2 linked regions of the Rattus norvegicus genome follow. The protein of the gene in region 2 interacts with the protein of the main gene of each other region in a biochemical or structural test. Links are inferred from orthologs where the notes say so. Each region holds a gene or a part of one and is shown on either strand. Other genes may lie near its edges.

The links.
Region 1: the proteins of Cops7a (region 2) and Cops4 form a complex in vitro, tested with the Homo sapiens proteins (2 studies listed by BioGRID). The link is inferred for Rattus norvegicus from reciprocal best matches to the Homo sapiens genes COPS7A and COPS4.

What each region holds. Positions count from the first base shown.
Region 1 is NC_086032.1:9,410,192-9,414,528, forward strand, and holds the start of Cops4 (COP9 signalosome complex subunit 4), read right to left. Parts: upstream 2,917-4,337; 5' UTR 2,879-2,916; coding exon 2,805-2,878; intron 1-2,804. UniProt on the Homo sapiens protein: Component of the COP9 signalosome complex (CSN), a complex involved in various cellular and developmental processes.
Region 2 is NC_086022.1:159,457,192-159,461,731, forward strand, and holds the start of Cops7a (COP9 signalosome complex subunit 7a), read right to left. Parts: upstream 2,983-4,540; 5' UTR 2,861-2,982; intron 2,840-2,860; exon of another isoform or gene 2,741-2,839; coding exon of another isoform or gene 2,727-2,740; intron 2,511-2,726; coding exon of another isoform or gene 2,468-2,510; coding exon 2,306-2,467; intron 1,952-2,305; exon of another isoform or gene 1,846-1,951; intron 1-1,845.

The sequences.
Region 1 (4,337 bases), on a different chromosome or scaffold from region 2:
TTGAATCCCATGGAACTGGAATTACAAATGGTTGTGAGCCATCATGTGAATGCTGGGAACGGAACCTAAGCGCTCTTAAGCTAAGCTACTGCTCCAGTCCCCTCTTCTAAACCGTTTTAAGAGGTGTAAAAGAGATGTATCTATTTTTTATTTATTATTATACATATATTATATATAAAGAGGCCTATATCTGCAACAACCACAACAAAAAGCTTTTTATATGATTCGTTTCTTATAACTTCGATAACATCAGAAAGCATGTCTAATTGAGTTTTTAACAAGAAAAACAATATAGTCTAGTTGGTTAAAAGTGAGCTTTTTGAGGGAGTTTAGAGGTCTGGTGGGGACATTCTCGAGGAGTGGAACCCCTGGGGGGGGGGGCAATGGGATGTTGAAACAGTTGGAAAGTAGACGGGGAGGAGAATAAAATCTGGAATGTAAAAATGAATAAATGAATGAATGAATAATTTTTTTTAAAAAGTGAGCTTCTGATAAAAACTTGGGTTCAAATAGAAGTTATGCCCAGCAACCGTAACCAAGTATTCCATTTCTTGAACAGCACACTGTATGAGCATATTATCAGCGTTAGACATCTTATACTCCATTATTTGTTAAAGTGGAAGCCTTTGTTTCTCAGGTCCCAAGATAAAAGCCTTAAAGGAGCAGATGACTTTGACATATGTACGTCATAAAGTATGTGGCTTGCAGAACTGTGTTGTTGAGAGTAAACATTCTGACAATTCTTACCCAGATAGTACTGGGTAATTACCTAAAGGGAAGGCTGGAGATGGCTCAATGGTTAAAAGAGTGCTGGCTGCTTGTCCAGAGGACCTGAGTTCAATTCCCCACACCCGCCTCAGGTAGCTCACCACCACCTGTAGCTGGTGGGAAGGGATCGCACTTCCTCTTTGAACATCCATGGGCACCTGCGCACATGCCGCACTCATACACATAAATAAAATCAGCTAAATCTTAAGACAGAAAGCAATATGGCGGGGCAGCTAACACTGCATGGACTATCACTCATCAAGCACGTTATTTCATTCACTCTTAAAAAAACCCACGTGGTAGACTGGCACCCCACCCTCCATTCATCTTCCCGTGCAATAGCACTTGGCTTCTAAAGAGTTAGTGGTCCGTTCCATTCCCTTTCCCCTCACCGTTGCATTTCTAGCCTCACGGTTAGAACACTGATGAAGGAAGTCGCTGAAGAAAGCCAAAGCTAAAGGGTGGAGTGAGAATGCAAGACCCAGCCAACCGCCAGGTATCTCTGTGCATGTGGCCAGCCACATTAATCTGAATAACTGAACCAGGCAGGAACTACTAATTGTGTGTTTATGGAGCTGCAACAGAGAAAAGAAACACCCTATCGGAGTCATGCTACTGTTCATCTCCAATTCTGAACTCAAGAGGTCAATAGTAACCGAAGTTCCAGAATTCTTTCAAGTTCTAACAGCTCTATCTTAGTTGATAACTAATAAACTTACATTTTCTGTAATAAAGAGGAAAAAAAAATCAAAGGAAATATAAGGGAATACATAAGCTAGTTTTACTTCTATCCAACTCTATAAAAGTATTAATACATGTGAAAAAAAAAAGCGAAACAATGAACAATGATATATGCTCTTTCAATATAAGTGAACTATTCCCAACTCCCGGAATAAGTCCTACGTACTTACTGACTGCTTAATAATAACTTTATGACACTGGCCATACACCAGGGGCTGTGCTCAGTTATTTAAGTGCAATCAGTATAGAGACACATGCTCATTTTGAAATCAGGTAAGACTAAGTCTCACGATTATCCTACCATTTTTTAAAGTAGAAGAACAAAGAATAAGGTAGTTAAGCCCAGGTTATAAATTAAATTTCCCACTAATAAAGTAGATTGTATTTTCTACACAGAATAGCCAGGCACAGCGGCCGCACCACACATACACCATTTCAACGTGCAGGTTTGAGCAAGAGTATTTCATTAATTAGATCAACGTGCTCTCAGTTGTGAAGTGTAAATGTTAGGCTCAATTGAAGGCATACGTTCACTAGAAAGCAAAACTGTGAAATCTACACAAAGAAGACTAAAGCTGTTCAACAATTGTTTGAGGGACTGACACATGTCTCAATTTTTGACCTGGAGTGGATCTAAGTAAGCACCCTAAGGTTTCCACAAAATTCCTAAGCAGCCCCTGGAAATATTACTGTCTAGACATCCCGAGCCCAAGGGCATTCTGCCTGTGTTCTCGTCTACAGAGTTGGTGACAGAGAGTATCCAGAACATAAGGACCCACACACGCTATGAAGTGAAAAGCTCTGGACCACATGACAGCGTCTATTCTTTCTCCTCCCCTGTCAATCCTGGAAAGCCATCTCTTCAAAACAAAAACAAAACTCTGTATCAAAGTCCAAAATACAAATTTACCTCCAACCAGGCGAGGGCGGGGGCGGCAGCAAACAGAAGTCAAACTCGGTGCGTTGGGCTCGCCGAACAGACACTAAGGAAGGCGCCCACCGCCTGGGGAGCCGTCATCTTTCTTACCACGCTTCCAGAAGCCAAAGGAACCCGCAGAGGGCGTTATCAAGGACTTAAGAAGCTGGCAGTCACCCCGGGTCGTAGGACGGTCAGGACCCCAGCACACGATCCCCACAATTTTCTGCTGCTCCCAGCATTTACCGCCACAGCCGACTTCAGGCCCGCCCCCCTGAGTCAGGCCTAACTCGAGCCTCACACCCCAGAGCGCCCGTCGCCTCTAGGAAGGTAAATTTGTGTCTTCCTTCCTACCTCTATACTCCTAGGAAATACTCACTTGCCCGCCAGATCTTTGTGAGAGCCGCTTGAATTCATGAGCTGGGCCAAATCCTGTCGCACGGCAGCCGCCATCTTTCTTCCAGCTCAGCCACGGCTGCGGGACCTCTCGCTGCCAAAAAGGAAACGAGTGTGGTCCTCCAGAAGCCGGCAGAGGGGAAGCTAGATGCCATAGAGTAGCATCTTAGTGGGCCAGAGCGTCGGATATGGGAGCCGGAATTAGCTCCGCCCTCGAGGTTGAGTGACACAAGACTCCTCTCCTCTGGTTTGAGGACAGCCCAGGTCTCCCGAGAGACACTGGCTCTCACGCTCCGACCTGGGATTGGCTGAAGAAGAACTTGAAGGCGTGTACTTTGTGCAATTTCAGTAAGGGCCCGGCAGGTCAAACGACGACGTTTTAGCCAGGTTCCGGATCGGATTATTATCGTTCTCCGCTTAGTTCTTTAAGGCATCTCTTAAACTACCTATGTAGAGTTATTTCCAATTCACTATAGTCCAATACTGAAGAAAAACAAAACAAAAACCGACCAACACATGCACGGAATATTAATCCCAAAGATGCGAAGAAAACCATAATGGCCAAATTAAGCAATTAATGAAAGCGAGCTTTTTCATTCGTGTACACGGACTGCCTTCCCCTAAAGTGGAATTCGATAGGTCAGCTCTAGATGCAAGGAAGACAAGGCTTTTATAACTCAGGGGTAAAGGGATCCAAAGGGGGAATTGGTGGGCAAATTAGGCGGCTGGCAAAACAAGGTAATCACAACAGGTAGACATAGGTGGTCATGTAAACTATGCAGCAGGTAAGGCTGCAAAGTGGCTATAAACCACTTCTTGAAGCAAAGGCATGATTTCTATTCCTGGAACTGGTAGTGCAGAACCTTTTGTACTTAGGGTTACAGGTGAAGCATAGTCCAATGCTTGAGAAAGAGAGGTTTAATCATAAACAAGGAGGAACCTAGTTTGTCTGGAAGAGAGGTTTAATGATAAACAGGTAGGAATCTAATCTGTCTTTACCATGAGATGGCTTTTAAGTCTGAAATGGAGACAAGCTGGTTCTTCAGATAATTTACCTGGGAGAGAATATACTGCAATCAAGAATATGATCCTAAGGGGTTGGGGATTTAGCTCAGTGGTAGAGCACTTGCCTAGCAAGCACAAGGCCCTGGGTTCGGTCCCCAGCTCCTAAAAAAAAAAAAAAAAGAATATGATCCTCCCAGGATGAGTCACTGGCATCTAGGTGTGCTAATGTCTGCGTTTGTGAGGAAACTCAACTGCACAGCTTATGATTATAGTGGACTGCTTTTGGCACATTACCCTTATGAAAAAATAAGTGGCTGGGCTTGATGGGGATCACCGTAATACCAGCACTCCAGAAGTAGAGGCTGGAGGATCAGGAGCCTATGCACCTGAACCTATGGAGTTGAAAGACAGTTGGGATTGCTACAAAACCTTGTCCCACAAATCCCTAAGATATAGTACAGATTTAATGGACACACACACATATACACAAGTACCTTTGGGCTATATATGT
Region 2 (4,540 bases):
CACACCAGACACTGTAAATTATGTGCCCCCCCGCCCCCCAGAGGGTTTGTGGCCATGGCTTCAGAATGTCCTCATAGCGAGGTCTTACGTCATCCACAGCACCTTCCCTCCTGTCACTGCCACTTATCCTGGCATGTCACTCTGCTGGTTCTCACCTAACAATGTTTTTTTTTTTTTTTTTTTTTTTTTTTTTTTGGTTCTTTTTTTCGGAGCTGGGGACCGAACCCAGGGCCTTGCGCTTCCTAGGTAAGCGCTCTACCACTGAGCTAAATCCCCAGCCCCAACAATGTTTTAACAAGGCTATAGACCCAGCATCTGCTAGCCTCCAAGGACCCAGAGCTGTGGCCTTCGAAGTAAGTTACTGATAAATTGCTGACTTGTATTGTTTTATCCATTTATCCGATCTCTTTCACTGGAACACAAGCTGGAAATGCTCCTTCTACCTCATCTTAAGGACATACTTTAGTTCACTGTAGAGAAAATCAGGGACAAAAGCCAGTTTCTTGTGAAACAGCAGTCCCAAAAAACATTCTATCCTCTGATTCCACCACGGGTCTTCTAATGCCTGGCTCAGTCTAGCCACACACTACTGTCACTCTCATGACAGGCTGGTGTCCCAGGATTGGCCATCCATCTGCTCTATACTTTTAACGTTCTTTTTTTCTTTTTTTTTTTCTTTTTTTTTTTTTTTCCGGAGCTGGGGACCGAACCCAGGGCCTTGCGCTTCCTAGGCAAGCGCTCTACCACTGAGCTAAATTCCCAACCCCACTTTTAACGTTCTTGACTCAGCCATTTCCCTGAATGTTCTCGTCACTGTGTTCATAGCAGTTTGCCACTGTCTTAGGGAAGACAGCATCTTCACCATCTACCTGGGGGTGGGGTAGGGGTGGGGGTGGGATTTACCATGGCATAACTCAAATGCCCATTCTCTCTGATTTTAGGAGACTCCAGACTTTCCCACAGTTACTACTGTAACTGTGAAGGGAAGTGCTTTTTTTCTTATTATCATTTACTTTATGTATATGTATACACTGTAGCTGTCTTCAGACACACCAGAAGAGGGCATCAGACCCCATTACAGATGGTTGTGAGCCACCTTGTGGTTGATGGAAATTGAACTCAGGACCTCTGGAAGAGCAGTCAGTGCTCTTAACCGCTGAGCCATCTCTCCAGCCCAGGTAGTGTTTTTTTCGGTTTTTCCCTCATTGGAGTTGTGAGAACTGTACCTATACTGAGCCATGCATACGACAAACAAGGGCTCTTTCACTGAGTACATCCCTACTCCTTTTTTGAGATGGGGTCTAAGTTGCAGAGGCTGGTCTAAAATTTGTGGTGCCCTACCTTAGCATCCCAAGTTCTGAAATGGAAGCCAAGGCCTCACAAATGCTAGGCAACCACTCTATCAGCTGTTTCAAGGTTCTCATCACCATTTTTTAAGGGAAAACTGAGACTTAATTAGGTTTTTCTGATCCAGGTGACAAGATTTGTTGTTTTGTTTTTAAGACACGGTTTCTCTGTGTAACAGGGGCTGTCCTGGAACTCAAGTCTGTAGACCAAGCTGGCCTCTAACTCAGAGATCCACCTGTTTCTACCTCCCAAATGATGGTGACAGGATTATTAAGAGGTATCAATAGGCACAAATCTTCAATCCCAGCACTCCGGAGGTGGATCTCTGAGTTGAACACACAGAGAGTTCCAGAACACAAGTTATAGTACACAGAGAAACCCTGTCTCGAAAAACAACAACATCAATAACAACAGTAAAGATATCATACTGGTGGACGAGCTGGCATTTATGAGTGGTATTGTGTATGACATGTTCTTTTGTTTAAAAATTTAAAATCTGTGTTTCCTTCAGCAGCACATATACTAAAACTAGAACGATCCAGAGAAGATTAGCATGGTCCCTGGGCAAAGATGACCTCAAATTTATAAAGCGTTCCACATTTTTAAATAAAAAAAAAATTTTTTTTTTAACTTCTGCATGAGGCATAGTCAAGAAGATTCTCAAGCATTCAAGGCCAGCCCAGATGACGATTACCAGTTTAGTGCAGCCAGGACTACGCAGTGAAACCCTGACTGAAATTGTGGGTACAGAGGAAGGGAGCAGTAAGTTTACAGACCCCTTTTCTGTAAGAGATACAGGAAATGAAGACCTTTTTTTGACTGCTTACTTTTCCAAGCTGACATCTAATTATCAATACCCTGTTCACCTGAGTGGCTATTGGTTACAAAATGAGCCCACCATTCTCAAGGAAACTTTGGTCCCGAGGTTCTTTTTGAATTACCCAGGCAAGCAACACACCTCTCTAACATTAGGCATATCCAGCAGTTCCCCAAACACGTAGACACCAGGGGCCTCCAGCACCTGGTGGATGAGTGTGGCCAGTGCTGCCCCCTTAGCCGACTTGGCAAGGAGCAGAAATTGCTCCTGGTTCTGCCCTGTCACCTTCACCTCCGCACTCATGGCTGCACCCTGGTGCGGGGCTCTGGCCTCAAGTTTTCTGGAGCTGCAAGGAAAGAGGAACGTAAAACTAAAGGTCCCTGAACCACGTGAGGGTGGTCAGCTCAAGGGTGGGGAACTGCACTCAAGAGGTACCACGTCACTTCTGCAGTGTGCAATTAGGTCAAGAAGTCTAAAAGCCAACTCTAGGGTTCCTTAAAGTCGGCCACATCCTGGCTGCCACGCCCACCCTCTCCTCCATCGGGGCAGTCCCAAGCCCCACCACGTGCATCCCATTGAGTTCCAGGACAGATGAGGAAGGGAGGGAAGAGGTGGCACATGGTGTCTACCCCAACGACGACGAACTCCCAGCTCTAAACTCGTGTCTTGCACGTGTCCTCAACCACGTGACCTCACCTTTTCGATCCTCACTCGTGGCTCCACCCCCTCCCTTAAAGAGGCAGCCCCGGGTCCGCGAATCTGTGCCCAAGGCCGGGTCGTACCCTGGGACAGACTGCGACCGACCGCTACCTGGAAGCCTCGTCTTCCAGCGCGCGGGGCGGGGCGGCCGCTCCGTCACCTCCGGCAGCGGCTCCCAGCCTTTCCTGCCACCTCCCCGCAGGGTCGCTCTAGCCACGCGCTTCTATGGCCAGTTTCCGGCCGCACTTCCGCTCTCGAGAGGCGGGTTCCGGCCGGCTATGGCCTGCTTCCGTTTCCCGACCGAAGGAGGTGAGAGAGCGACACCTAGCTTCCGCTCTGTCGATAAAGCTTTATTGGTGCGGGAGCGGTGGATGCCGGGTGTAGAGAAAATCCTGGCTCCGTGGAGGTCCTGGGTAGATGAACCGCCCGGTAGCTGCAGGAGAGGGGAGGAGGGCAGCGCCAAGTTCCTCCGGCCGCATGAGCGTTAGTGGAAGACGAGAAGATGCAGAAACTAAAAATAGGAGACAAACATGGCTAGAGTTTCAACGGTAGATAATTTAGGTAGTTCAACCACTCATGTTTTTCAAAGAGCAGAATAAAAAGTAGACAAACGTGGCTAGAATTCAACGGTAGATAATTTAGGTAGTTCAACCACTCATGTTTTTTAAAGAGCAGAATAAAAGTTTAAAATGCAAGGGGGCAGGGAGTGGTGACCCACACCGCTTCCCTGTGTTTTGGAAATAGAGGTAGGATCGGGAGTTCAAAACCAGCCCCAGGGGGTTGGGGATTTAGCTCAGTGGTAGAGCGCTTGCCTAGGAAGCGCAAGGGCCTGGGTTCAGTTCCCAGCTCCGGAAAAAAAAGAATCAAAAAAAAAAAAAAAAAAAAAAACGAAGCAAAAAATACATAGCAAATACCAAGCCAGTCTGGGCTACTTGAGAACCGGTCTGGAAAAAACAAAACAAACCCCCAAATGATTAAGGGGAAAGGGAAGTGTATTGGTCAGGCTTTTGAGGTTTTCTTCCGTTGGAATTTCAGACCACGTGACCAGACTTTTGGCCGATTAAAACCAGAAGGATTACTACACCTAATCGTTCTGGTTTTAATACTTGAATCTCAACAGGAGAAAAGTGTAAGTAGAACCTAGGCAGGTGAGGAAATTTAAAAGTTAAAGGATTCAGCTGGTTATTTGTAATCCCAACAGCCAGGAGACTGAGGCAGGAGGATTGCTATTAGTTGGGAGGGTAGCCTGTGCTACAGTGTGAGAGACCCTGTCTTAGAATACTTTAAATTGCATGGTGGTACACACCTTTAATTGGGTGGATTTCTGAGTTAAATCATCCAGCATCTTATGCATAGGGAATTATGGTATAGCCAGAACTACTTAGTGAGACCATGTCTCAAAATGAAACAAAACAAAAATACTTACAGAAACCATTTAAGGGGCAAATTAAGGTAAAGCCAGACTTACTGTTTCATAATCTGTAATCCCATTACTCAGTAGACTAAGGCAGGGGAATTGAAAGTTCAAGACCTGAGTTCTGGAAGTAACCCATGAGACAAGGGAACATAGGGTCCAAGTGCAGGCTTATCTGATTCCATTGCTTCCCTGCAGGAAAAACGAGGCATGGTAGTACATGCTTGTAGTCTAGCACTCGGGAGGCTAAGTCAGGAGGATCT